7 linked regions of the Canis lupus familiaris genome follow. The protein of the gene in region 4 interacts with the protein of the main gene of each other region in a pairwise test. Links are inferred from orthologs where the notes say so. Each region holds a gene or a part of one and is shown on either strand. Other genes may lie near its edges. The genes, in order: TSC22D4, MAPKBP1, NECAB2, TEX11, NEFL, ZNF414 and PPP1R18.

Evidence for each region.
Region 1: the proteins of TEX11 (region 4) and TSC22D4 interact in a two-hybrid assay, tested with the Homo sapiens proteins (2 studies listed by BioGRID and IntAct). The two-hybrid records come from large-scale screens. The link is inferred for Canis lupus familiaris from reciprocal best matches to the Homo sapiens genes TEX11 and TSC22D4.
Region 2: the proteins of TEX11 (region 4) and MAPKBP1 interact in binary tests that used the Homo sapiens proteins (3 or more experiments, as listed by UniProt). The two-hybrid records come from large-scale screens. The link is inferred for Canis lupus familiaris from reciprocal best matches to the Homo sapiens genes TEX11 and MAPKBP1.
Region 3: the proteins of TEX11 (region 4) and NECAB2 interact in binary tests that used the Homo sapiens proteins (3 or more experiments, as listed by UniProt). The two-hybrid records come from large-scale screens. The link is inferred for Canis lupus familiaris from reciprocal best matches to the Homo sapiens genes TEX11 and NECAB2.
Region 5: the proteins of TEX11 (region 4) and NEFL interact in a two-hybrid assay, tested with the Homo sapiens proteins (2 studies listed by BioGRID and IntAct). The two-hybrid records come from large-scale screens. The link is inferred for Canis lupus familiaris from reciprocal best matches to the Homo sapiens genes TEX11 and NEFL.
Region 6: the proteins of TEX11 (region 4) and ZNF414 interact in binary tests that used the Homo sapiens proteins (3 or more experiments, as listed by UniProt). The two-hybrid records come from large-scale screens. The link is inferred for Canis lupus familiaris from reciprocal best matches to the Homo sapiens genes TEX11 and ZNF414.
Region 7: the proteins of TEX11 (region 4) and PPP1R18 interact in binary tests that used the Homo sapiens proteins (3 or more experiments, as listed by UniProt). The two-hybrid records come from large-scale screens. The link is inferred for Canis lupus familiaris from reciprocal best matches to the Homo sapiens genes TEX11 and PPP1R18.

What each region holds. Positions count from the first base shown.
Region 1 is NC_049227.1:9,141,688-9,145,620, reverse strand, and holds the start of TSC22D4 (TSC22 domain family protein 4), read right to left. Parts: upstream 2,801-3,933; 5' UTR 2,440-2,800; intron 1,999-2,439; 5' UTR 1,720-1,998; coding exon 958-1,719; intron 1-957.
Region 2 is NC_049251.1:9,143,807-9,147,306, reverse strand, and holds part of MAPKBP1 (mitogen-activated protein kinase-binding protein 1), read right to left. Parts: intron 3,160-3,500; coding exon 3,089-3,159; intron 2,946-3,088; coding exon 2,824-2,945; intron 2,545-2,823; coding exon 2,469-2,544; intron 2,358-2,468; coding exon 2,246-2,357; intron 2,066-2,245; coding exon 2,002-2,065; intron 1,748-2,001; coding exon 1,613-1,747; intron 1,397-1,612; coding exon 1,260-1,396; intron 1,049-1,259; coding exon 993-1,048; intron 1-992. UniProt on the Homo sapiens protein: Negative regulator of NOD2 function. It down-regulates NOD2-induced processes such as activation of NF-kappa-B signaling, IL8 secretion and antibacterial response. Involved in JNK signaling pathway.
Region 3 is NC_049226.1:68,831,394-68,834,893, forward strand, and holds part of NECAB2 (N-terminal EF-hand calcium-binding protein 2), read right to left. Parts: intron 2,425-3,500; coding exon 2,316-2,424; intron 237-2,315; coding exon 211-236; intron 88-210; coding exon 1-87. UniProt on the Homo sapiens protein: May act as a signaling scaffold protein that senses intracellular calcium.
Region 4 is NC_049260.1:55,153,188-55,156,687, reverse strand, and holds part of TEX11 (testis-expressed protein 11), read left to right. Parts: intron 1-3,014; coding exon 3,015-3,179; intron 3,180-3,500. UniProt on the Homo sapiens protein: Regulator of crossing-over during meiosis. Involved in initiation and/or maintenance of chromosome synapsis and formation of crossovers.
Region 5 is NC_049246.1:32,631,897-32,636,118, forward strand, and holds the start of NEFL (neurofilament light polypeptide), read left to right. Parts: upstream 1-1,422; 5' UTR 1,423-1,605; coding exon 1,606-2,652; intron 2,653-3,727; coding exon 3,728-3,852; intron 3,853-4,222. UniProt on the Homo sapiens protein: Neurofilaments usually contain three intermediate filament proteins: NEFL, NEFM, and NEFH which are involved in the maintenance of neuronal caliber.
Region 6 is NC_049241.1:53,455,301-53,459,256, reverse strand, and holds the start of ZNF414 (zinc finger protein 414), read left to right. Parts: upstream 1-1,156; 5' UTR 1,157-1,312; coding exon 1,313-1,315; intron 1,316-2,042; coding exon 2,043-2,355; intron 2,356-2,687; coding exon 2,688-2,795; intron 2,796-2,909; coding exon 2,910-3,015; intron 3,016-3,555; coding exon 3,556-3,899; intron 3,900-3,956. UniProt on the Homo sapiens protein: May be involved in transcriptional regulation.
Region 7 is NC_049233.1:625,434-629,584, reverse strand, and holds the start of PPP1R18 (phostensin), read left to right. Parts: upstream 1-1,351; 5' UTR 1,352-1,485; intron 1,486-2,275; 5' UTR 2,276-2,308; coding exon 2,309-3,919; intron 3,920-4,151. Other genes in the region: NRM (nurim), read left to right, coding at 1-118, 579-610.

The sequences.
Region 1 (3,933 bases), on a different chromosome or scaffold from region 4:
TGGTTTGTGCCCAAGGCCAGGAAGGGGGAAAAGTTCTCATCCTCACACTCCCTGCCCTCGCTCCTGAAGTCCAAGGTGTTATTTTCTCCTTCAGGACAGACACATCCATCCCCCACATCCCTGGCGGCCCACCCTCACCCCAGGGACCCAGGCATCCTGCCCCCCAGCCCAGACTTGTTCCTCTTTTGGAGACAGGAAGCAGAAAGACCAGAGGATTTAACTCTTTCTCCACTGCTTCCTGCCTCTCTCCCACTCCCTGGTGGCCACCCCCAGTTATCAATCATGGAGAGGCCTAGATGCAGGGGAGCGGAGACAGGGGCCTGAGGGCAGAAAGGACACACCGCCAAGCCCTCCATCCCACCTAGTTCATCACGTCCTTGGAGAAATTTGACTTGGGACAAAGCTGCAGATGGGGCTGGGATGAGTGGCTAATAAGAAGACAGACCGTCACCTTTGGAATGGTGCGTGGTGCGGCCAGGGAGACTTTCTTTTTACCCCTCCCCACCAACCTGGACAGCTCCTCTCCCAGAGGCCCAAGCACCTACCCCCATCTGGGACCTCCATCCCCCATGCCTGAAGCCAGAAGGGGTGAAACCAAGACAGAAGGTGAGGGCCAAAGTGTGAAGCCGACATCTCTGTGATGGCGAGACAGCACTAAGCTATAAGGAAACAGAGATGGAGGCCAAAGGTAACAAAGGCTTAGAGAAAGAAAGAAGGTGCAGGATATAGGGGAAGAGGGAGCCTGAGAAAGAAAACAAGGCTGCATGAAGAGGAGGATGGACTACTTCCCAGGAAGAGGGCAAGAAGAGAAAAGAGGGACAGACACGTGTTGTTGGAATGGGGAGAGGGTGGTAAGGAGGTGGAGGCAGGGAGGCCCAAGCTGGAGGTTAGGCCCAGGCCCAGATGAACAAGCACCACCCCTCAGGTGTCTCCCTGACCCCAGAACCCAGCTCTTACCTGCCCCATCTCCTCTGGAGCAACCAACTCCATCCTCAGCCGCAGGGCTCCATCCTTTGATCGGGATAGTGGAGGGGTCCCTGTTGCTGAGCCCCCAGCCTCCACTTCCACCCTCAGGGAGGGCAGGGGCGTGGCAGCCCGGGAGGGGCCGGCGCTATCCCCTGTCCTGGGCTCTGGGGGACGCTGCTGGGGTGGGGAGGCTGACAGAGGGGGTGTCTCCACCTTGGCTTTACCAGGTACTGCCAGCTGGCCCAGCCCCCGGGTTAAGGAGCGGGCCTGAGGTCCAGGGGAGGTAGGGGGCGGCCGGAGCCAGGAGGTGGGGCCCTGAGACAGGCCTGGCTGCGGGGTTGGGGCACCCAGGCCCAAGCTGGCCAGCTCCAACCTGGAATCCAAAGATCGGCCCCCAGTGCCCCCCGAGGCCCCTCGAACTCCTTCCAGGAGCCGGCTGAAGCCAGGGGTCTCCAGGTCTCTCTCGTAAACATCCACACACGTCCAACGGCCTCGACGATAAGGCTCTCCCAGGCCATGGGGCAGCTTTACCACCCGGAAACGGGAGGCGGGGGCCCCAGGTGGTGGGGAGCCGTTCCGGGGGGTGCTTTTGCCCCCTGGCTCGGGGCTGGGCTCCCCGTTAGGCAGACGGGGTGGGGGCGCGGTGGGGCCCGGCAGGGCAGGGGGCTCTGAAGACCCTGGGCTCCCTGGGCCCTCATAGTCCGTGGTGACGCTGGTGATTTGAAAACTACTCTTCTTCTTGCCCCCACTCATGGTCCCTGGGGCTCAGGACTCGGCCAAGGTGGGCAGGGGGTGCAGCTGGGGCTCCTCCAGGGGCTCAGGCACCCCTGGAACAGGGGGGCCACATGGCGGGGGCATCAGGGCCCCTGGGGACATCTGGGTCCGACATGGCAGGAGGGCTTTGCAGGAACTGGGGGTACTTGGCTGGTAAAGGGAGCACAGGGCAGGGGAGGTGGCAGGAGGTGGGGGCAGGGGCAGGGGCAGGTTTTTCCTGCCCCTGGCGCTGCCCAACTCCAGAGCTGAGTTTGCAAACTGGAAAGAGAGAGAGAGAGAGAGAGAGTGTGTGTGTGTGTGTGTGTGTGTGAGAAAGCAGTGGGCAGGCCACCTCTGGGGCTTCCTCTCTGGGGAGCAGGATGGGGGAGGAAGGGGAAACCACCAGAGACCCAGAGACAAAGAGACTGGCAGAGACGATTGAGACCAGGAGATCCCAGCGGTCCCACAGAGTAGGAAGGGGCGGCCCAGACCAAAGTTGGGCATTTCTTGCCTGGGATTCAGACTCACAGGACCGAGTCGCCCGACAGCAGGAGGGGGCTCCAGGGCCTTGGACGAGCAGGGGTGAAGCAGCTCCTCGGTCGGCCCCGCCGCCGGGAGGCCTCTGCCGAGTGTCCAGGCTGCCCGCACCCCAGCTCCCCGATCCCGGGCAGGCCCTGCCCCGCTGCCCCAGCGCCCCGCCCAGCCAGCCCAGAGCCCTACCTCTCGGCCTCGGCCACCGAGCTGGGCCGGGGGTCCCGGAGCCTACGATGTCGGGCTGTCCTTCCCGCGGGGGGCGCGGCGGCGATCAGGGGCTGTCCGCTTCTCTTCGGGGGCCGCACTTCGCCCCGCAAGGCATCTTCGTAAAAAGTTTGCTCGCCAGAAAAGAAGGGACCCCCGCCTCCTTGGTGGAGCCCAGGCGCGGCCTCCGAAGCCCCAAGGGTCCCGGGACTGGTGAGGGAAGAGGCGGCTCTGCCCCCACCCCGATCCTCCAGGTGGAGCCGCCTAGGTGGCTGGGGCGAGCAGGTCTCTCAAATCTCCTCCGCGTGGAACCGCTGGGTCTCTCTCCGCTCCTCGGCTCTTCTCTCCGGTCTCTCTGCCTTTCTCTTTCTGGGCTGTTGACAACCCCCACACCAGGAAGTCCTGCCTCCTCGGGCCTGCTGACTGCTCCTCTCCTCCTCCTCCTTCCCCTCTTCCTCCCCTTCCTCCGCCCTCTCTGCCTCCTGGGGCTCCCGGCCAGCTGGCCCGGGGCCAGGCCTGCCACCACCTCTGCTGCCACTGCTGCTGCTGTTCCTGCCCCCCCCCCCCGCCCCCCCCGCAACAGGCTTAACCCCACACCTGCTGGGCCCCAATCCTGCGTTTCCTCGGAGGGAGGGGCCGTGGAGGGCAGAGAGAAAAGGGGAGGAGTTTGCCGGGGGGCCAGGGATTCCCTTACTTGTAGGCACTTGCTGCCATTGGCCTACGGAGAGAGCAAGAACTTGCCAACCAGGGGCTCTGCTGGGTGCCCGCCACCCCATAAGCTGCTGCTCAGCTCTTGCCATATCTTCACTGGTGTTCACAGTAACTCTATGAGGAAGGTTCCGTTATTCTTTCCTGTCTTTATTTTAAAACGTGGATTATGATGACAATTTGCAAATGGGCCCCCAAGTAGAGAAAAATGATAAACTCCCAAGTCCCCATCGTGCAGTTTCAACAATGATCAGCTCACAACCAACCTGGGTTCTTCTATACTCCCAATACCTCTTGTTGTGCTGTGCTGGAGTATTTTTAAAAATCCCAGGCACCATATTATCCCTCTTCTTAGATGTGGATATTGAGACCCGGAAGGTTCCGAGAGGCTGTCAGTGGTACAGCTGGAACATTCTACACACTCAGGTGTGCCCTTGTCTGGCCCCTATATAAAGAAACAAAGAGATGTACTCAGAAATGTGCTGACTTGCACTTTCTCTCCAACCCTGGTCACACACACATGTATACATAATGTACACACAGATGCACCTGAGGACAAGCCCTACCCGCCCACCTCTCCCATCCCATCCCTTCTTTGCTATTGGAGAAGCCACACACACACACACACACACACACACACACGAAGGCCTTACCGAATTACCCAATGCCTGGAATGAAAAAATAACCCTCTGATGGCCACTTTCTCTTTTATGGCACCCTCAACCAACAATCTGAGCAAGAGCAGGGTTGAAAAGCCACATCTGCCTT
Region 2 (3,500 bases), on a different chromosome or scaffold from region 4:
CTTATTCTGAGGACAGTCCCAGGTCTAGTCACAGCATCAAGGACAAACCAGTAGTCCAACCTTGAGTCCCTGGCTTGGTCAGAAGGCACTAGAGGCCCCACAACACCACCAATCCACGGAACTGCTACTGACAAGGAAGGTGTTGCCATGTGAAGTCTTGACAAGGCACAAGTGAGGGCTGGACTGCTGTGGGACTTGCACAGACAGCCCTTATCCTCCTTCTGGCTGCTCTGAAGTAGCAGCCCAGTTACTGGTCCTCTCATGGCCCTTTCCTTCTAAATAACTGCTCTGGAAGTTCTGACCTCACCCCCAACCTAGAGTCTTTAGAACTACAGTTTCTCAAGATTTCCACTCTTTGAAACTTTGATGTTCTTGAACTTCAGGTTTTTAAAAATATTTTATGTATGTGTGTATATATTTACTTACTTGAGAGAGTGTGCACACGTGCATGCATGGGCACAAGGGGGCAGGGCAAAGGAAGAGGGAGAGGGACAAGCAAACTCTCCTCTGATCCAGTGTGGAGCCCTAAGCAGGGCCCAACAAGGGGCCCAAAATGGGGGCCCTTGGGGCTTGATCCCATGACACTGAGATCATCACAAGCTGAAACCAAGAGTCAGACGCTTAACTGAATGAGCCACCCAGGCGCTCCCCTTGATCTATAGCTCTGTTTGGCTCAGGCCCCCCTTGTCTACTCCTTATCTCAACCTGTTCTTCATTCACATTTACTCCCAGGCCCCCCAGGCAGCTGAAAAGATGGAGCACTTCTTCTAGTGGTGACTAGCCTTTGCAGGCCACCCCACCTGGCCCACAAGAAGGAGACTCCCGAGGCTTCATCATCCCTAATCTGGGACCAGCCAAGCTGCTCAAACTCTCCCACAAGGCCCTTCCTTGGACACGAGGGGTACAACATGCCGGCAAGCCCAGAGAGACCTGCTTTTACCCTCCTCCAGCCCTGTGACCTTGGAAGGGCATTTTTAACAATGGTGACTCACCCGACTCATCTCCCAGTGGGACAAGCTTCGGGGCAGGGCTGGGCTGGGCACTGAGGCTAGACAGAGACAGGCAAAGCAGTCAGAGAGAGTGTCTCCTGCCCACACACCCAGAGCCCTGGCACTGCACCAGCTCATACCCCTGGGTGGCCACAGTGATGCTCTGGTTTCCTCGGTTAGCCCTGCTCTCCACCCCTGGCCCCAGAAAGGGCATATGTAGCTACTGTGCCAACTGGTGCCTATCTGGCCCTACTCCAGACATCCACATACCTGGCTCTTTTTTGGTACCCTTGGCAAGGATGGGCAGAGCTGGAAGTTCTTCTTCTTCGGTGCCCTCATCTTCTCCCTCCTTGTCACTGTCTGATGACAAAGCTGGTCCAGGAGATAGCATCGATGGCGCCTCATGCCTGAGTCCAAGACAAGGAAGGCCATGGAGAGAAGAAACTCAATGCAGGAAGAGGAACAACCTTCATGGGTCTTCAGGTAAGAAACAGGTGTTGGGCGATCCAGGAGTCAGGAGGTACAGGTGAATGGCAAGTCCAGAGCGAGAAGGGGAAGCACTGAGGCAGCAAGCAGTCTAGATGGCCACCCACCACTAGCCCATATTCATACTCTGTTCTCACCTGTTGGGTCCTGCAGCTCTTTGGGGAGAAGATGGTCCCTGCTGCTTGCCTCCACGCTGACGCTGGCGCAGTTCAGCCAGACGCTGCCTCATACTGATGGTCATCTCAGAGCTCAGGCGCCACACAAATATACAGCTGGGTAGAGCCACAGAGGCAGGTGAGGGAGAGAGAGGTTAGGCCTCTGGAGTGGAACCCCACTAGTTCCCCTTCTCTATGGGTCAGCAAGAAGACCAGAGCCACCCTCCAGTGCCACATCAGGCCCAACCAAGAAATATCCCTGCTCAGCCCTATTCCCAAGAGACATCACTAATGCAAAGAGAGGGGAGGGGGAAGAGTGTGTGTATATCTCAGGAAAAATCTGTATGTCAGGGAAGTGGGCTTCTGCTCACCTGTCTCCTGACACAGAGATGAGATGTTTGCAGTCATTACTAAACTTCATGCCAGTGACAATCTCTGTGAGGAACAAAGAATATGGCCTCTGAGCTTCCCTAAAGTCCCAGCCAAGCCCTGTCCCAACAGTGGAAGTGGATGGTTGGTTGGAAGGGAGGGGCAGACAGCTCTGCTAGCTCCCAAGAAAGTAAAAGAAGAAAGAGTAAAGTTCCAGCAGTAGAGTACTGGGGCAACGACACTCACCTGAGTGGCCAAACATGGTGGCCACACACTCGCCTGAAGAGAAGTCGAAAATGGAAAGGTTCTTGTCAGAACAGCTGGTGGCAATGTAGATCCCCGAGGGGTCTGTCTGCACCTAGGGATGGGACACACAGCTGGCAGAGGACAGGGCAGCACCAGTCCCTTTCCACCTAGTATATCTGTCATGCCTTTCTCTGGCCCAGGGCAATTCCTCCTGGGCCCTTACCTTAATCAGAGTGCCATCCTCACCCTGTGACCCTTTAAACAGCTTCTTTTGCTTCCCACTGCTGATGTTAAAGATCCTGTAAAGAAGCATACTCTTGCTCACATGAGGAGGCCATGATCAAGCACTGCTGGGTGGCAGAGACCCCTGCATTCAGTCCCAGCCCTGTTTTCTCTGGGAGCCACTCCCCAACACCAAAGGGGCTACACCACCTCTCAGGTACGGCAAAGTGCCCTGTAGGTTCAAGGGGGCACAAAGACCTGGACAAAAAAGATAGAAGTGGGGAGAGAGCTACCTAGAGCTGACCCCCTCAGGCATGAAGGAATGCAATCAGATGGTTGGAGAAGAGGATGCCCACCGAATATTTCGGTCCTGGCAGCCAATGGCTGTGTACTTCCAGCTGGGCTCCACATCCATATCATAGAGAGTCGTCTTCCGTACCACATGGTGTGTCCGTGTAAACTGTACTCCATCTCCAGACTGCAAGGGTAGAGCGTGTGGGCCCAACAGGCCCAGAGAGCCCTGCTTTCACCCCCCTTCAACTCTTACAACCTCAGCTGGGGAAAAGGTAGAAACCCCCACCTCCCAACCCCTCCCCATTTAGGGAAGCCCCATACCCTCACCTTCTGTGCAGTGCGGAAGTAAATGCTCTTGTCTGCTCCACAGCTGATCATGCGGACTTGCCCATCGCTGGCTATGGAAGAGGGGGTCCTAGCTCTTCCCACTGCTTTCACCAAAAGGGGGCCAGCCCTTCCTCTATTACCCCACTGCTGAGCTTTCTACATGACCCAGACAACTAATTAAATCAGGATGCTTCTCTCCAAACCTAAGCTAGCCATTCTCTATCCTCAGGCAAGCTGTCTGCCTGAGGGTTCCCTAGACAAAGAGTCTACATTCCACTCGCCTTCCTGGCCCCAGGCCTCCTAGCTGCTGTCCAACACCCCCCTGTGACCTGCACACCCTCCTCATGGAGGCAGGAGGCTGGGGGCAGTTGGGGTGGGGATGGAGGATGTTAGTAGTAGGTGGCAAGATGTA
Region 3 (3,500 bases), on a different chromosome or scaffold from region 4:
AACCCATGGCCTTCAGGACGGAGTGATTCAAGGTCTCCAGGGAGGCCAAGACGTCCTCATAATCCCCCATGTGCTCCACAAAGTAATCTGACGGAAGGCAAAGCAAAGGTCAGGGGCAGAGGATGAGGAGGATCCCACCTGTGCCCCCGTCACTCCCCCAAGTCCCATCCCACCACCCGGGTCCTGGTCCCTATAGAGGTGGGCACCTACCACACAGCTCCTTGGTGTCCACGTGGCTGCAGAGAGAAGAAGGGAGACTTGGGTCAGGCCTGTCCCGTCCCACCCGCCCTCCCCCTCCGCAGCATGCACGGCCGGGCTGGTGAAGTGCCTGCTGCTCAAGTGTGTGCATGTGTGCACAATCTCTCTCTCTCTCTTTCTCTCTCTCTTGTCCACCCCACGTGCTGGGCTGGCCCTGTGAACCCTGCTCTGCAGGTGAGGCTGCAGCAGGTCAAGGATGACGCCCCTCCCAAGGACAGAGCAGGGACCCACACCTGTGTATTCTCTGGCCCCACCACCTTCCTCTCTGTGCCCCTCCCCACCCCCTGTGTCACGAGCTGTTCGGGGACCCGAAACATGGCTAGGCCGGGGCTGGGAAACGAGAGGGAACGGGACAGAAGGTGGGGGGCCCAAGACCAGTGTAGGCTGCCCCGGGGCCTCCCTACCTTTGGGTCCTGGGACAGCCCTCCTCATCCCCATTCCTACAACGCAAGAGGATAATGTCCTTCCTCGGAGGAGACTGGGCACCAGAATGCCACCCATGCTGGAGAAGCTGCGTGTAGCAGCCTCAGAACAGAGACATAGTAGTGCAGGGTGCTAGCATCAGATGCCGGGGACCTGAGTGTCTGTGCAGGTTCTGATAACCTGGCCCTTTCTGGGCCACAGTTCCCTGAGAGAGGAGGGGCTGCCCTGGGTTAGAGAGCTCCTGGAACCCCGAGTTCAGTAAGATGCTTCTACATTCAGAGGCTTTGGAAGCTCTGTCTTGGAGCTTCCTCCAATTCACATCACATATTAGATATTCTGATAAGTCCTGCAGAAAGGAAGCTTGTTTAATTGTGCTTAAACTAGGATTTTACTAGTACTTTCTGATCCATATGAACTGTTCTGGGCAAAAAGCCTGTTCAGCATCCCAAAGAATGAATGGGGATGCTGGAGAGGATAATACTAAAGTCTTTAGAATTCTGACCTTCTGTGAGGTCACACACTCATTGGTTAAACTCTCCAACCAAAGCCTCCTTTCCCACCTGCCCAGCTGGCTCAACACAAAAGGCACCATGAAAATGAGTAAACCAAGAGGCTTGTGCTTAGCCCTTTCAGAGCTCCCTGGGGGCGCTGCAGGAACCACTCAGAAACCTCCATCTGTTTGCAGAAGCAAAGCCCTTCACTGGGTCTACGGCAGGAAGGGCAGGAAGCAGTTTCAAGTGGCCTTCCCCGGACAGGGACACCTGCCCACCCTGGTCCCCAGCCTGTGCCTCCCAGGACACTCTCGGTCCCAACCTCTGGTCCAGGCCATCACTGATTGTGCTGTGTCCCTTGCAAGCAGGTCTGGAGGCAGCATCTTGTCCAGACCACCTCCAGCCTGTCTCAGGGGACCCCAACTCATCAAATCTGCTCCAAGCAGCACCCTCGGAACTCTGGTTCCCAGTGGGCCTGTGTGGGCCCGAGGAAGGTGACCCACTGAGGGGCAGAGAAGGGGGCTGGGCCTCATCCTGCTTTGGGAATCCTGTGGGGGTGGGGGGCAGGGGGTGAGGTCGTGGGGTCGCATACCTGTGAGTAGAACAATAGAATGAGCACTTTGCGTGACTTAGGGATGGCTTAGGCCAGAGTTTTTAGCTCTGAGATGCAAGTTCCAGGGGTTACAGTGGGGTTTAGCTAGATACAGAGGAGTGAGGTTAAAGTCAGAGCTAGGATTGTATCTGGTCAGTCTGGTTTAAGACAGGAGCCGTGAGGTCAAGGTCACGGAGTTCAGGTCGGACTGCGGAGGAGCACCAGGTGCCGGGGTCAGAGCTAGGCTGAGTCGGCAGAAGGTGGAGGCCAACTTTCCCTGTGTTCGTGCTGCAGGATCGAGGGTCTGTCCCTTCTTAGCCACGTGTGCTCAGGAAGGACAAACTGCCAAAGCAATGCCAACTGCCCACTTCCCAGGTCACCCCGGCCAGTGGGGGCCAAACAGATCCGACTTTCGGATCAGTGAGTGTGGGGATGTTCTGGATCTCCTGTTCCTCCAGGGAAGTGGGAAGGAGAGACTGATGCCCTAGCTGAGGGGAAAGACGGTCCTCCCCAGACCCCCTGGACGCCCCAGCGACCAGGGCTTCGCTCACTTGGTGTTGTCAGAGTCGATGGTGTGAAAGAGATCCTCCAGTTCCTTCTCATTGAGGACGCCATCTGCGAAAAAGAGCTGGAATTCCTCCAAGGACAACTTCCCATCGTCTGCAAAGTAGGGAGGAAGAAGGTAGAGCAGCTGGTGTCTAAGAGATAAGACGTCCCCCAAATCCAGACAATTTCCAAATCAACAGATAAACTCCGGCCAGATCATCTCCGTCCGCCCAGCGAATGCCCAACTAAATGAGGAAACTCTAGTTCACAGAATATCGCCGACTTATCTGGCTAATTCCCAGACCCACACCTCAACACCCACTTACAGATAATCCCCAAACCGGCAACCACCACAAGCAGCAGCGAGTTTGCTGGGGCGCTCGTCCCTGATGCGCTCAACTACGGGAGAGCACCTGTTCCGGCAGGTGCGCCTCTCTCCTCACCTGCCGACCACCTGCAGCTGGGTGCGGTTTAAGGCAGCACTGCACGGAGGCCACGGGGTGTGATGGCCATTCTCCCTTGCTTCCAAGTGCCCACCCACCCCCATACTTGCATGCTCTCCAACTCCAGCACCCAGGTCCTGACTTGGGGGAGGGACACCCCCTTCCCCTCTGCCCCTTCCTCAGGACAAACTTTCGAGCCCAGACCTTCATGCGGCAGCAACAGCTGCCGACACTTGGCAGGGAGTTCCCACCCCGCCAGAGACCCAACCGTGAAGACGCCAAACTGCAAGGGAGGGAGGCATCCAGGCTGCCCAGGGCCCAGCACGGTCCCATCCTCTGTTGCACCTCTTCTCCGTCCACACGCAGGACCCCTGGGCACCAGCATTTGTGTGTGTGGGGCAGTCTCCTGGGCTGGGGGCGGGTGGTCACTGAGGGAGGGGCTCACAGCGGAAGGGCAGTGACTCTGGGAGAGGCAGACCCCACACTTCCACCCTCAGCCTCAGCAACTTCCTTCCACCTGGGCACACCTGCCGAGCTCCTGCAAGGACCTCCACCACCCCCTCCTCAACCATCTCAGCCCAGCTCCCGCTGCTCCTTAAAGGAGCCACACCTGTGGGGTGGGGGCCGTGGGAGTCAGAGGGAAGGAAGCCCCCAGCCCCTCAGCACAGACCCCCTTCTATTCCAGCCACTCTGCAATCAAAGTCCCTACAAGCCCACGTGGCACCCCTGTGTGGATTAGAAAGAGAT
Region 4 (3,500 bases):
GAACATCTGCCTTTGGCTCAGGTCATGATCCCAGGGTCCTGGGATTGAGTCTCGCATCGGGCTTCCAGTGGGGAGCCTGCTTCTCCCTCTATCTATGTCTCCACCCCTCTCTGTGTGTCTCTCATGAATAAATACATATCTTTTTTTAAAAAAGACCAAAATTTTGAATGCGGCCTACAAGGCTCTGCTTCCCTGTCTGTTCTTATCTCGATTCACTCTTTCCCTCACTCTCTGCCTTGTTAGCCACACTGTATTCAGCAGTGTTATGAGTTACCATTACCAACTGCTAGACAAACCTAATGGCTTCTTTCTTTACCCTGGCCTTCATTATTGACCACTGCTTCTTCACTGAAATTCTTTGTCCTTTATTTTCACACTGCTCTTCTGTGTTATCTTTTCACTCATACCACCCAACTGTGAACATTTCCATTATTCTTCACTCTTCTGTTCTCTATAATTCTGTCTTTCAAGTGAATTGATACATTTCAAGTATTACCTAAGTTCCAGTCCATATCTGCAACAGCCTACCTATCTTCCAAATGATATACATACCCTGGATGAAGCACAGTCACATGACTTCTTTTCTTTAAAACTTTCTAAAACACTTAATGAACTAATGTGCATCAAACTGCCCCAAGAGGATATATGTAGAATGCAGCATGTCCGAGACATATTTGACAACAGAACCCTGTTGTTACTGACCATCTGTTTTTCATGACACTAATGTTCTGAGGAAAAGCACTTAGGAAATACTTAGGTAGCCCTATCCTACATTTCTGGTCCTATTTCCCACTAATTTCCCTACATAAACTGCCTGCTTAGGCCAAACAAGTATTAGCCCCCACTCCAATCCCCCAAGACATGCACAACCTCAAGCACAGTCCAGGTCTTTATTTGTTCTGTTTTGCCCACATGGAATCCCTTCTCTCTTTCTCTCTCTCTCTCTCTCTCTCTCTCTCTATATATATATATATATATATATATATATATGGAGATTTATATATATATATATGGAGATTTATATATATATATAATTTGTATTGAGATATAATTCATATAGCATAAAACCCACAATTTTAAAGTCTATAGTTCAGTGGTTCTTAGTATGATTTCTCTCTGCCCTTGTCCTTGACAAGCACCAATCTGCTTCTCTTGCATTTGCCTTCTGTGGAGATTCCATATACTCTCTGTATATCTGAATCCTACTCATCTACCCTAAGGCCATGTTTGTTTGTTCAGTCATTTGTTCATCCATTTGGTTGAAATCACAACACTGTCAGACACTGTGCCAAGCTGTGACTATACAAAGATAGATGCCGTGGTACCTTCAAGGAACTCCCTGCCCTAGTGGAGGAGACAGACAATACGATATTATAAAGTGCTGTGGTAGTGCTATGAACAAAGGGCCATAGGAACAAAGTGGTGTGGATAATAAATGGTGGAGGGGGGCAGGGAATGTCTCATGGAGGAGGGAGACTTTGGTTGTTGATTCATTTGCTCATTCATTCATTCATGCATTGATGACATAAATTCAACCATCTGGCAGAGGAGATAAATATGTAAACACTGTCAAAGCAATGTGATAGAAGTTGTATTAGAGGAACATAAAGCTTGCTATGGGAGCAGAGAGAAAGGAGTACCTAACTCTGCTTGTGAATTTGAAGAAAATGTAGATGTTTACCAAGTAGACAGGGACAGGGATGGCATTTCAAGCAGAGACTAGACTTCCTCTGACTGTACCAGTCTAATGCTCATTTTTTAAAAACTGAATTAGAGTACCTAATGCCTCTGTCACTCTGACTAGCCCTTAATCACATACCTTGTATGGTCCTCTTTGTACATTGGATGCCTTGTCTCCCCAAAGGCAACTACGTGTCCTTTAGTATAAGAGCTTTGTCCCTCTTAACACCCTCCTTCTCAGAGTGTTTAATGCAGTGATTTCCATAGACCCAAATGAGTAAAAGAATTTCAGCTGAGATGTCATTGACACTCCCAAGAAACTGCAGCCCAAGTCTTCTATCACATTTCCCCCTTCTGGGGCCTGTTGTATAGATGAAGGGCTTTAACCTGGATTGAGCACATGAATGCTGCCTTTGTGGTCCATCTCCTATATAAGAACTTGGAAAGTAGCTCCTCAGACTAATCCCTTTCACTATTGCAAAATCTTATGATCAGCCATGTTAAATACTATGCTTAGGTGAAGGGACCATCTTAGAAATGGGCCCTTTTGTTCATAGCTAAGTACAAATTGTCAACACAAAAGACTAATATTTTGTTTAAATTACAATTGGTTGACTTTAAATAAAACCAATTACCCTCCAAAATCAGTTTTCACCTTAAAAGCAAAAACTGAGATTTCCCGGAGAAGGAATTCTGCCTTGAGACTGTAACATTAAAATCCTGCCGGAGTCTCCAGGCTGCTGGCTTGCCCTACAGATTTCAGACTCAAGATTACAACATCAACTCTTACCTGAATATACAGCCTGCTGGCCTCCCCTACAGATTTCCAACTTGCCAGTCCCCACAATTGTGTGAGCCAATTCCTTAAAATAATGATATATGTAACATCTAAAGACGAATATAATTTCTATTCTAAATACACACTGATTAAGGTCAAGGAAATGAACAGATTCAATAAAAACTACTTCTTGACAAGCTTCTCTGAGAAGTAGAGATAGATACTGGGGAGATAATTGACTGAGGACAGCACTAAGGGGAGCCCCAAACATGATACAGGGTTTTCTCCTATGTCAGGGAGACCGATACTCAGTCCAGGCGGGCCTCAGTGCTTTCTCAGTTTAAATATCACTTCATGAGGTCTTGCTCTGGAGCATTCTACAGCTGACAAACCTTCAAGATGCTCTTCTCCTACTCTCAAGGAGCTCTGGCTCCTTCCCTGGTGTTAGCAGAGTACCCATTGTTTGTTTAATAATAATGGGACACAGCAGTAATATAGTCAATGCTACAAGGACTGTGACAGTAATAACTGTAAACCCACTGTTCTTGGATTTCAGAAAGGCTACCCAGAAACAGAGATTCTCTGGCTGATGATCAAGTCCTGGAATACTGGAATATTTATGTATGGCAGGAACAAGTATGTATCTGCAGAAAAATGGTGTGGCCTAGCATTGCGTTTTCTTGACCGCCTTGGCTCCCTCAAGAGAAGCTATGAAACTCAGGTAAGGAAGGGAAAGGGCTACAGGTGGATGGTATGACACGGAGGGGAAGAGAGGTTCTATCTGGGCAACCAGTTATAACTCAGTCCTTCCTTCCTTGGCTGGAAAATGATTCTGATCATTGTTCCTCTCAGTAATTCCATAGAACTGCAAGACTTAGAGGACTGTATACAGTAATGCCCTAGAGTGAAAACTAGGAAGGATGGTAAACAGGGGGGAGCCTAGGAATATCAAATGGAATCTAAGAAGAATGCCAAGATAGAGCTCTGGAAAGATGCATCACTATCAATGCCAGTGCAAGTAGGGAAGGACTAGATACTGTGC
Region 5 (4,222 bases), on a different chromosome or scaffold from region 4:
CACTTCACCGTCTCAGCCTCACAGGGAAAGAAAGAGGTGCCGGCTTTTCTTTTTTGCAAACTGTTAGCCTGTTTCCCCCCTTAGTTTGCTATTAAAAAAAAATTAGTAAGTTGCACATCAAACGCTCCCCTTACACAAACTCAATAGAAACGAAGTGCTCGTGTAGAAAAACCTTAGTGATCCTATTAAATCTCTGCAATCGCTCCGTGAAACCAGGACTCCGTAGCATCGTGCGTGTGAAATGCTCTGCAGACCGCAGGGTTGTATCAATGTGCATTACTGTTTTCAGGTATCGGGGTGTTTCCTAAAGAAACACGGATGTCTGACTGTGTCTGCAATCTAATTACCAGAGTGAGCCGGGGGAAGAATCACGCAGCTCTCTGCTGGATGCCCCAGGACGAGACGTGTCGGGGTCCGAGTGCTCCTCCCGGGAGACCGCCCTCGGCGCGCTCGGGGCTGGCAGCCGCAGCCTCCTTCTGACAACCGGCCACCTGCCTGGCTTGTGGAAATCATCAGGTTGATGCTACACAGGTGTAAAAAAGAGGGAAAGGGGCTCTGGGTGTGTCGGAGTTGGTGGTGCCCCGCGGGAATTCAGTTTGATGGAGAAGATACAGGCTGCGTGAATCAGTCCCAAGGGCCGGGCTTACGGGGCTCGCCGCTGCCTTTGCAAGTCGGCTCCCCCCCCCCCAACCCCCGCTTAGTTTCAAACTCACTTCTCGGCTCTCCCCCACCTACGCGCTTCCACACGCTGAAAACACTCTTTCTCCGGAAAGAAACGATTAAATCTAGAACACTGGAAGGCTCATATTAACGGCTCTACGGGGGGTCAGAAACGCTAAAATCCACACCCGCAGTGCCGCAGGTTCACGTGTGTGCGCGCGCGCGTGCAGAAGCAGCGCGTTAAGCAGAAAGAAAAATCACCGGGAGCAAGGGACATGAATTAAAGAAAGTGCCAGAAACAGCTACAAAGAAACAGGAAACTTTCCTCCCCTTGGAGGCCTAATACACGCAAGCTTAAACTTTTCAATTTCCGAAGCCCCTAGAGGCACTGCCTTGTCACCCGTAAGCCCCAACGGGGATGATGGCAGAGGCCCGTGGTGGGGAAGGGGCGACTTAGGGGTGAGGGTGTCTCCGAGGAAGCGGGGAGACAGAGAACTAAGAGGTCAGTGGGGGAGTGAGAACCTATTATTGGGGACGCGCATCCATGTGATGCGGGGTCCAGGGAGGAACTAGGATGGGGACGGGGGTTGGGGAGGGAAATGAGTGAGGGGTAAGGGGTCTTGGGGGGAAATAAATCGCAGGCCTCGGAGACAAGTAAGTGGAAAGGACGAGCGCCGCAGCCCGGAGCCGCCTGTGGCTCGCCCCCGCCTTCCCTTTTGCGCAGAATCCTCCCCTTGGCTGCAGCAGCGCGCTGCCCCCACTGGCCCGGCGCGCCGTGATCGATCGCAGGCTGCGTCAGAATGCTCCCCGCGTATAAATAGGGGTGGCAGGACCGCGCCGAGCCGCACACAGCCATCCACCTTCCCCTCTCCCTCTCTCCCCTTTCTTCTCTCTCCGTAGGCCCCCCCACCTCCGCTGCGAGCCGGAGGGCCTCCGACCGCCACCATGAGTTCCTTCAGCTACGAGCCGTACTACTCGACCTCCTACAAGCGGCGCTACGTGGAGACGCCCCGGGTGCACATCTCCAGCGTGCGCAGCGGCTACAGCACCGCGCGCTCCGCTTACTCCAGCTACTCCGCGCCGGTCTCCTCCTCGCTGTCCGTGCGCCGCAGCTACTCCTCCAGCTCCGGCTCCTTGATGCCCAGTCTCGAGAACCTCGACCTGAGCCAGGTAGCCGCCATCAGCAACGACCTCAAGTCGATCCGCACCCAGGAGAAGGCGCAGCTGCAGGACCTCAACGACCGCTTCGCCAGCTTCATCGAGCGCGTGCACGAGCTGGAGCAGCAGAACAAGGTGCTGGAAGCCGAGCTGCTGGTGCTGCGCCAGAAGCACTCCGAGCCCTCCCGCTTCCGGGCGCTGTACGAGCAGGAGATCCGCGACCTGCGCCTGGCGGCGGAAGACGCCACCAACGAGAAGCAGGCGCTCCAGGGCGAGCGCGAAGGGCTGGAGGAGACTTTGCGCAACCTGCAGGCGCGCTATGAAGAGGAGGTGCTGAGCCGCGAGGACGCCGAGGGCCGGCTGATGGAGGCGCGCAAGGGAGCCGACGAGGCCGCTCTCGCCCGCGCCGAGCTCGAGAAGCGCATCGACAGCCTGATGGACGAGATCGCCTTTCTGAAGAAAGTGCACGAAGAGGAGATCGCCGAGCTGCAGGCGCAGATCCAGTACGCGCAGATCTCCGTGGAGATGGACGTGTCCTCCAAGCCCGACCTCTCCGCCGCGCTCAAGGACATCCGCGCTCAGTACGAGAAGCTGGCTGCCAAGAACATGCAGAACGCCGAGGAGTGGTTCAAGAGCCGCTTCACCGTGCTGACCGAGAGCGCCGCCAAGAACACCGACGCGGTGCGCGCCGCCAAGGACGAGGTGTCCGAGAGCCGCCGCCTGCTCAAGGCCAAGACCCTGGAGATCGAAGCATGCCGGGGCATGAACGAGGCGCTGGAGAAGCAGCTGCAGGAGCTGGAGGACAAGCAGAACGCCGACATCAGTGCTATGCAGGTCTGGCACGGTGCACAACGCAGTGGGGGCGGGGAGGGAGCTGCGGGAGCAAGTGGTGGCGGGAGGGGGAGGGCGCGCCCGGAACGTGGAGACCACCGAGGAGGCCTCCGCAGGTAGCTAGGAGCCAGTAGAACTTGGCTCCCAGGGGACTGTGTGGGAGGGGTGGGGCACTTGGAGGGCGGGGGTGGGGGGTGGGGGCCCCACTGCAGTCCGAGGAGACGTGCCTGGTGCAGCTGTATCTAGCTCCGCATTAAAGCTGCCCAGCCCTGCCAGGGTAGGGTGGGGTGGGCGGAGGGGATGGGAGCTGGGCGTTGCCTCTGGCCTGTCTCTCTAACGTCCTTCACTAACCACAGGTCGCTTTGCCCTCCACATTGGACCATCAGCTTCATAATTACAGCACACAGCTCTCGTTAGTTCTGCAGGCTACCTGTGACCAAGGCATGCTTGAGACTAGTTTTATCAACCACTCCTTGCCCTTAGGTAGACAGGAGTGCAGTCAAAATTGGAATAGGTAATGATGTTCACAAAAAGACATTTCTTTTCTAAGGATCTCCATTTTCTGGGAAGGAGAAAAAAATAATATTGATACATAGAAAATATTTTAGATACAATGACTGTCATTTTTCTTTTATAGCTAGCTACTTCCTACTCCTGTAAAGCAATGGAGTAATTTCTTCCACTTCACTTGCATAGTTAACTAATGAATGTGAAATAAAGTTTTTTTTTTTTAATCGACCAAAAATTTTTTGCAGGCATTTTATGATGATCATTAGACAGTAGCAATTAGAAGAAAACAAAGAAGAATATTTCTTCTATCAGGTTTTTAAATTATTTTTATTTTTATTTTTTATTTTTTTGGTTTTCATTTCATGCTTCCTGAGCTGGATTTTTTTTTTTTTTAATACAAGGAAGGAAAGGTTAAAAAAGAGAAAAGACAGTTGTTTTAGGGGAGATCTTATCTAAGGAGTGCACTTTGGTTTTATGTAGGTTAGGCCTTTGCAGCTGTAATATACTAAAATGATAGCAATTGGGACTTATGCCTGGATTTTTTTTTTTCTTTTTGGTCCTCCAACAGGACACAATCAACAAATTAGAAAATGAATTGAGAACCACAAAGAGTGAAATGGCACGGTACCTTAAAGAATACCAAGACTTGCTCAATGTGAAGATGGCTTTAGACATTGAGATTGCAGCTTACAGGTAAAAACAGTGGGCTGGTAGCAGCCATTGTGGTTTAGGAAGAAAATCAGGTTTCATTTATATTGAGTCAGAAGCCTTTAAGAATAGTCCTTTGAAATAACTGTTTGCATTTTGGCTTTTTCCAAGAAGGTATTTAGACAAATAGGGAAGAATTTGACCCTGTGATATTAATGAATTCTATTCCTAGTTTCTTGTTACATTTTAAATGGAATAGACAGGACTATTTTGTTTGTTTTTCTGTTTCTTTTTCTTTTTTTCCTGATGGTAGGCACAATATCCCCAGTCATGAAGTTTTGATAATTCCCAGCCTTGCTCCTGCTCCTGCTCTCCTTTGCCTTTAAGGGTAGTATTTAGGGGGAGGATGATGAGT
Region 6 (3,956 bases), on a different chromosome or scaffold from region 4:
ATTTGCCCAGAACTCAACAGATACCTCTTGAATGTTAAATAATGTATAGAGACCTGAGATCAAAGATTCCCTTTACCATCCCCCAACTGCCCATCCTCCAAACAACAGCCAGGAATCAGATGGTGGACCTCCCCCAGATAAAAATACATCAATGGTGGGGATCCCTGGGTGGTGCAGTGGTTTGGCGCCTGCCTTTGGCCCAGGGCTCCAACCTGGAGACCCGGGATCGAGTCCCACGTCGGGCTCCCAGTGCATGGAGCCTGCTTCTCCCTCTGCCTGTGTCTCTGCCTCTCTCTCTCTCTCTCTCTCTGACTATCGTAAATAAATAAAAATTAAAAAAAAATACATCAATGGTGAGAATAGAAACCACACTCCTTTCCATGGTTCACAAGGCCCTGTGTGACCTTCTCTGCATCAAGTTCTCTGATCCAACAGTGAGCTGATCCCCTCACTGGTCCCTAAGACAAGCTTGTCCCTCTTTACCTCAGGACATTTGCACAGCTATCCACTTCCCAGAGTCCCCTGACCTTTGATCTGCTCACTCCTTCCTGACCATCCGGTTACAGCTCAAAAGTCAACTCACAGAGACGCTTCTCTCCCTTCTCTGTTTTTTTTTTTTTTTCCTTTGTGGCACTTAATGTAACTAAGGCGGTTTTCTGCATTTGTTGATTCGTTGTCTATTTTCCCATTTTAAAATGTGAGCAGGCCCCTGAGGTCAAGGATGTCTGTCCTGTTCATCTCTGGGTCCCCAACGCCTAGTACACAGGTGACTCGTTCCACGCAGGTCCACCCAGGGGTCTTCATCCTTAGGCTACCCCTGTCCGGGGGACAGACAGCTTGCTTCCTGCCCCTGGCTATCACAAGGAGCCCATTCCAACTTCAGAACTAAGTGCATTGACAATTTTGACGGTCACTGCCGATTTCCCTCCGAAGATGCTGCCCAACCAACACGACCTCTTCAAAAAGAAGAGCGGCTGAGAGCTGGTGACCGGACGGGAGGGGACAAAGGTAACCATTTTGCAGACAGGATTCTAGGCCAGGATCTCCGAGCTCAGGGTTTTTCCAAGGCGCCCTCCGACAAGCCCGGCTCGCAGACCCAGCGCCGCCTGCGCAGCTCCCCACGAGCGCCCAGATCTCAGGCCCCGCCCCCCCGAGGGGCGCCGTGCGCAGGCCCCGCCCCCGCTCTCGCGAGAGCCGGGAGGCGGAAAATGGCGTCGACGTGAACGCGAGCCCGCGGCCGCCCAGGGAGTCGCCGCAGCCTCAGCGGGAGCCGCCGGAGCCGCAGGAAGAAGAGGAGGAGCCAGGGTCGAGGATGGTGAGCGCGGCGCCGGGGGTGCGGGCGCGGCGAACCAGCGGGAACTGGCGGGGCGGCCCTGTGGCACGCGCAGCCTCGGGCCGACCCCGCCCCCACATCCGGGCCCTCGCCCGTCGCTGGCTGTCACTTGGGGGACGCCCCACCCCCTGCTTCCTGGCGCGGCTGCGACTGGGCCACGCCCACCGGGCTGGGCTCCGCCCCTGGTCCTTCTGCATCCGGGGCCCTGGCACCTCCCGGTTTGACTGCGCAGCTCCGGGCGGGCGGGTGGGTAGACTTCGGCCCTCGGGTAGTGCGCTTGATCCCTTCTGGCCCCTCCAGCATGTTCTAGCGGTGCCCTGCTCAGGGCCCCATCTTCGTAGCCTTCGCCTCGCCCTCACCCTGTAGGCCACGCCCCTGCTGTGTCGGGGTGGGGGGCGGGCATCCCCCTGTCCCAAGTTAGGGACTAGGGACTGCTTCTTCCATAGGAGTAATTCCAGACAGTTACCCCTTATGCAACTGGGACCCCTCCCAGTGCCCTACCAGAGGATGGGAACACAGGAGGCTCAATCCACCCTTACCTCCGTCCTCCCCGATGGTGACTCCTTAGAATGGGGTCTGACCTGGTGATGTCTTGAGGGCATTCGCTGCTTCAGGAACGTTCAAAGGTCTGGGGGGGGGGGGGGTTCCCCTGGCTGGTCCAGGCCGACCTGGGCCCAGAGGGGTTCTCTCTGCCTTTTCCTTTCATTAGGAGGAGGAACCCTCGGGGCCCAGCCCGGACATGCCGGCCGCTGCAGAGCCCAGCTTCACTGAGACTGACAAGGAGGTGCTGTCTCCAGCTGTGGCCGCCGCGGCCACCTCGTCTTCCATGGGGGAGGAGACAGGCCCTGAACGGGCAGCCACACCCCCAGTGTGGGACCGCGGAGGGCCTGGGGGGACCCAGCAGGGTGGCCCCTCACCCCCAGACAGTGGTCAGCCTGGTCCTGGATCCAGCCTTGGCCCGGCCAGCACAGTCTCTGGGACCAGCGAGGACCTGAGGCCTCCCAGACGTCGCCAACAACCAGGTGATCTGTGATGGAGCCTTCTGGAGGGTCACAGGCCTTGGAACAATAGAGAGGAGTACAGAGTATCTCCAAACTTGGGCCCCATCTAGAGGGAGTCACCATTTCCTGAGCGAGCACCAAGTGTATGCCAGGCTGTGGCTAAAGTGATGAGCTAGGCCATCCCAGCCTCTGCCCTCCAGGAGCCCAGTCTGGTGGGGGAAGCAGATGGTAAAGGTGCTGGTAAGAAACCAGTAGGGTAGTTCCAGCCTCATCTGTGCCTCTCCGGGGCATAACTCTGGACAGCGTGGACGAGAGAACAGTGGGTGACACCTCCCCTTCTGTGCTTCCTGCAGGGAAGCAGATACCCTGCTCCAGCCCTGGCTGCTGCCTCAGTTTCCCCAGTGTTCGAGACCTGGCACAGCATCTGCGTACCCACTGCCCACCCACACAGTCCCTGGAAGGTAGGGCCAGAGTAGGCGGTGGGGAGGCAGTTTGGGGTAGGAGGCAGGCAGTGCCTCCAGGCCAGCCTCGGCCACCCGTCTCCACTCCTCTGTCCTTTATCCCTGTCCTGCCAGGCAAGCTCTTCCGCTGTTCTGCCCTGAGCTGCACCGAGACCTTCCCCAGCATGCAGGAACTCGTGGCACACGGCAAGCTGCACTACAAACCCAATCGCTACTTCAAGTGAGACCCCCCCCTATGCCGACTTCCACCGGTCCAGGCAGCTCCTCCCACCCCTGGTTTGATTGCCACTACCTGGGGTCCAGGCCTTTCTCTCCCTTCCTAGTCAACAGGGAGGTGGGTTGAGTCTGGTAGTGGGCGTGCCCTCGGGCAAGACCTGCCCTTACCGGCCCTGAAAGAGACCCTGGTTACGGGACCCTAGAGACCCGGGGGAGGAGCGAGGAGCTTGGGAAGGGCGGGGCATACGTGGTGTGTTTGCATTCAGTCTCTCCTGACCCCGCTAGAAGAAAAGTGGCCACCTAAGTCAAAATTGAGACTTCCTTCCTCGTTTTCCCAGGGCAAGGACCCAGAGGGGTCCGGAAAGGTCGCAGCCACACTGGGGGGCGCTTAGAGCAAGCTTCTCCCCCCGCAAATGGGGGATCTGTGATTTGGGCCTTAGGCTCCCTTACCTACGCCCGTCGCGCGGCAGCTCCCCAGGTAGCGTCGGATAGGCCCTACCCTCGTCCCGCAGGAGGCCCAGCCCAGCCCTGTGCCTGCCCCCAGGTGTGAGAACTGCCTCCTGCGCTTCCGCACGCACCGCTCGCTCTTCAAGCATCTGCATGTTTGCGCCGAGCATGCGCAGAGCCCAGCCCCGCCGCCACCCCCCGCCCTCGACAAGGAGCCGCCGGCGCCCGAGCGTCCCCCGGAGTCCGACGCCGCGTCGGCGCCGGGCCTGCCGTTCCCGCTGCTCGAGCCGTTCACGACCCCCGCCCCTGCCCCCACCGGGCCCTTCCTGCCCTACTTGAACCCCGCGCCCTTTGGCCTGAGTCCCCCACGCCTGCGCCCCTTCCTGGCCGCGGCGCCCGGGCCGCCCGCCTCCAGCGCCGCAGTCTGGAAGAAGAGCCAAGGTGAGTTGGGAACTGGGCCGCCTGAAGGGCGAGCCGGGGCGCCCCCGGGACTCCTGA
Region 7 (4,151 bases), on a different chromosome or scaffold from region 4:
CTTGCTCTCCTCCTTACCCTGTACCTGGGCCTGGCTCATGGGCTTGACCAGCAAGACCTCCGCTACCTCCGGGCCCAGTTACAAAGAAAACTGCACTTGCTCTCCCGGCCCCAGGAAGGTGAGGCCGAGTGAGGAGCTAACCTGGTCCCAAGCCCTTTAACATCTGGGCTCTGGCTGCTTCAGACCAGAGGCCCAAATCTATGGACTGAAGGGGCCATCCCTTCCCCTGTTTGAGCCTCCACTCCTTGGGCCCAGCTCCATACCCTAATCCTGAATTTCAACCACTGGACCCCAAGATCTACTTCTCACCAAACCACGGAGGAAGGGTGGGGAACTTCAGTATTTCCTCACAGTTTAGGCCTTGACCCACCTCCACCCCACCTTAAGAACAGTCCTTCTAAGGAAGAAGGGTGGGCCTGCCCACTTCCCTCCCACTGTTGCTCCCTTCTACACCTCAGGGATCCCCTTCTCCCCCTCAGGCTTCCCTTCCTAGGAGTAGGATCAGGGTCTGCAGGTTTGATGGTAATGCCAGCTCTGCTGACTCACCTAGCCCCTCCTTAGGCCTTGCCCCTCCTTAGGCGCTGGCCCTGGGCTCTGTCCTCTAACCTGAGAGGATCCTCCCGCCCTTCATGTTGGTGACTAAGAGATCTCTGCCCTCCCGAGGAACGTCTGCGGCGGAAAAATAAAATTCAGCCCGTTTTTTCTACATATGGCATGCAGTCCATCAGTGTGTCTCTAACTAGAGGGCTGACTTTGGAAGGAAGGCCAGCAGAGCCCAGGCACGCCGAAGTCGAGTCCGGACGGCCACCGCGCCCTCTGGCGACCGCTGGGCGGCGGCCCCTCGGGCACACCCCCGAGGCCCAGCCCCCTTCCTCCAAGTCCCCAGTTCCCCCGCCGTGGACCGGGACCCATGGGACGCGGGCTGAAGCTAAAGACTGGGCAGCGGCTGTCGTGGGGGCCAGTTACCAAAGCCGTGGGCTTCCGAGTACGTCTCCGGGTGGCCGCCCGGGACCCCGCAGTGACGCAGGCTGGCCGGGAGAGGCCACCGCCTGGGGAGGGGCGGGCCCGGCCGGGGCAGCGGCTGCTTCCTCTGCGAGTCCCTCGAGGGGCCTGAGTCGCGGCGGGCGCGGCGGGCGGGGCGGGCGGGGCGGGGGCCAGGGCCTGGACACCTGCGTTCTCCGGGGCTCGCGGCAGGAGGGCCGGGCCGGGCCGGGGCTCGGGCGCGAGAAGGGGAGCCGGGGAGGCGGGGCCCACGCGCGGGCTCGGGAGCCGGCCCCGCCCCGCCCCGCCCCGCCCCGCGCCGCCCCGCCCGCGCCCCCTTCCCTCCCCATTGTCCTCAGACAAAGCGGTCGCCGCCCCCCGCCCGGCCCCGGGTCGCGGTCACCCTCCCGCCTCCCCGCCCGCGTCTCCGGCTCTCCCTCGGTCCCACTCCTCCTCCCTCGGACGCCTGCTCCTCCGCACCCCTCCCGTGGGAGCCCCGCGCGTGTGAGTCGGCTGCGGGGCTGCGGCCTCGGGGCGGGGGTGTCTCGCGCCGCCCGCCCCGGCGCGGACCTCGGGCTCCTCCCGTCGAGCCGCGGTTGCCTGTCGGTGCGCCCCGAGCCGGGGGGACGGCGGGCTCCGCGGGGCCGCTGAGCCGGGAGCCGGGCCTGGCGGCAGAGCCGGGGCGCGGAGCCGGGGCGCGGCCCGGGCCGGGGGCTGCCGCAGGAGGGGCGGGGGCGGGCGCCGGGGTTCCGGGAGCCCCGGGGTGGGCGCACCCGCGCCCCGCGCCCCGCTGCCTCCCCGGACGCCGGCTCCTCCCGGCTCCCCGACGCCGCTCCAGTCCCGGCTCCCTCCCGGCGGGACTCCCGGACCCCTCCCCGCCCCCCCCGCCCCCCGCCTCTGGGGCGGCGGTGGGGAAACCCGGCCTGGTCCTCCTCCTCGCGCCGCCCCCGCCCCCGCTCCCCGGCCGCTCCGGGCTCTCGCCTCCCTCGTTACGACTCCTTTTCCGCCCTTCTCTCCGCTCACATCCTCGGGCCTCCCCGATACCATGAACCCCGCGCTGCCAATTCTGACTGCTGTCTCCTCGCCCTGAATCTCTATTCTTCCTCTCAGGGCCGCGACGCCACCTCCGCCGGGCCCACTGCTTTTTCACTTTCTGTTTCCCCGTTACTTTGCCCTCCATCTTCTCACTCTTCCCCTCCCGGGCCTGGGCCCATCTCGGTGTCCCTCCTCTGCCCCTCTGCTTCCCCTCCCCCTACCCCCAGGACCTCTGGAGCCTCTCTTTCCTGTTCTCTAGCCCAGCACTTCCCACCCCTACCTCCGCGCGACCATGGCTACCATCCCGGACTGGAAGCTACAGCTGCTGGCCCGACGGCGGCAGGAGGAGGCGGCCCTTCGTGGCCGGGAGAAGGCTGAGCGGGATCGTCTGTCCCAGATGCCAGCCTGGAAGCGGGGAATCCTGGAGCGCCGCCGGGCCAAGCTTGGTCTGTCTCCTGGAGAACCTAGCCCTGCCCCTGGGACTACAGAGGCTGGACCTCCAGACCCAGATGAGTCGGCTGTCCTCCTAGAAGCCATTGGGCCGGTGCACCAGAACCGATTCATTCGGCAGGAGCGCCAGCAGCAGCAGCAGCAGCAGCGCAATGAAGAGTTACTTGCAGAGAGAAGGCCTGGGCCTTTGGAGGCCCGGGAGAGGAGACCCAGTCCTGGGGAAATTCGAGATCAGAGCCCCAAGGGAAGAGACTCAAAAGAAGAGCGGCTCAGTCCCAGGGAGGCCAGAGAGAGGAAGTTGGGGATAGGGGGAGCCCGAGAGTTGAGCCCCAGAACTTCAGAGGCTTGGGACTGGAGGCAGAGCCCAGGAGAGTCTGGAGACAGGAGCTCTAGACTGTCAGAGGCACGGAAATGGAGGCTGAGCCCTGGAGAAACTCCAGAGTGGAGTCTGAGACTGGCAGAGCCTGCAGAACAAAGCCCCAGGAGAAAAGAGGTGGTGGAAAGTAGACTGAGCCCCGCAGAATCTGACAACCAGAAGTTGGAGCTGTCAGAGTCCCATAAATGGAGGCCCGACTCTGGAGAGTCTCAGGAACAGAGTTTGGTACAACGGGAGGCATCAGGGTGGAGGCCCAGCTCAGAAGAAGAAAGAAAAGACTGTTTGGAGGAATGTAGGAGAAAAGAAGAGAGACCAATTCCAACACTGGCCTCAGAAGAGATTACAAAGGTGTCAGAGACCCTGACAAGGGAGGCTCCAGAGAGCAGCTCTGGAGAGGTGGAGGCAGCAGAGCAAAGGCCCGGCCCTGTGGAGGATAGTGAGAGGGGCCTGAGGCTGACAGAAGGCTGGAAATGGACCCTGAACTCTGGAAAGGTTCGAGAACGGACACCCAGGGACACAGAGACTCAACCTCAGAAACCCCCAGAGGCTGCTGAGAAGTATCTGGGGCCTCTTGGTACAGAGGCTGGAGAAGGGGAGGCTGAGAAGGAGAAGGCAGGGGCTCTGAGCAGGCCTCTGAGAACCCTGCAGAACTGTAGCTCTGTGCCCTCCCCCTTCCCACCAGAGGACGCTGGGACTAAAGGCTCTACGAGGCAGGAAGAGGAAGCGGTGGATCTCCGGCCCCCACCAACAGCCCCTCTGTTTCCCCTACCCCCAGCCCCACCTGCTCCCCAGTCCCCTGGGGATCCCCTCATGAACCGTCTGTTCTATGGGGTGAAGGCAGGGCCAGGGGTGGGGACCCCTCGCCGCAGTGGACACACCTTCACAGTCAACCCCCGGCGGTCTGTGCCCCCAGCAGCCCCCAGCACTCCCGCCACCCCAGCCGCGGCTGATGTTGCAGTTCCTGGAGTTGGGAAGAAGCGGTACCCGACTGCGGAGGAGATCTTGGTTCTGGGGGGCTACCTCCGCCTCAGCCGCAGCTGCCTTGTCAAGGGGTCCCCCGAAAGGCACCACAAACAGGTAGGGAGCAGCCCTCAGACTTCTCAGAAGCCTCAGCTCTCTCTGGCCTCCTTTCTTTTTTATAGCCCTGTATTCTTGTCTTCCTCTATTCTTTCTTGTTAATTCCTGCCACTACCCTTCCTCCTCTATGCACACCCTTCCTTCTTGTTGTAGCCCTCATTTTCCATTCATTTCCAAGCCCAAGGGTTCTGTCCCAAATCAAGTGCTGTCCCTGGGTGTGTCTCCCAGGGTG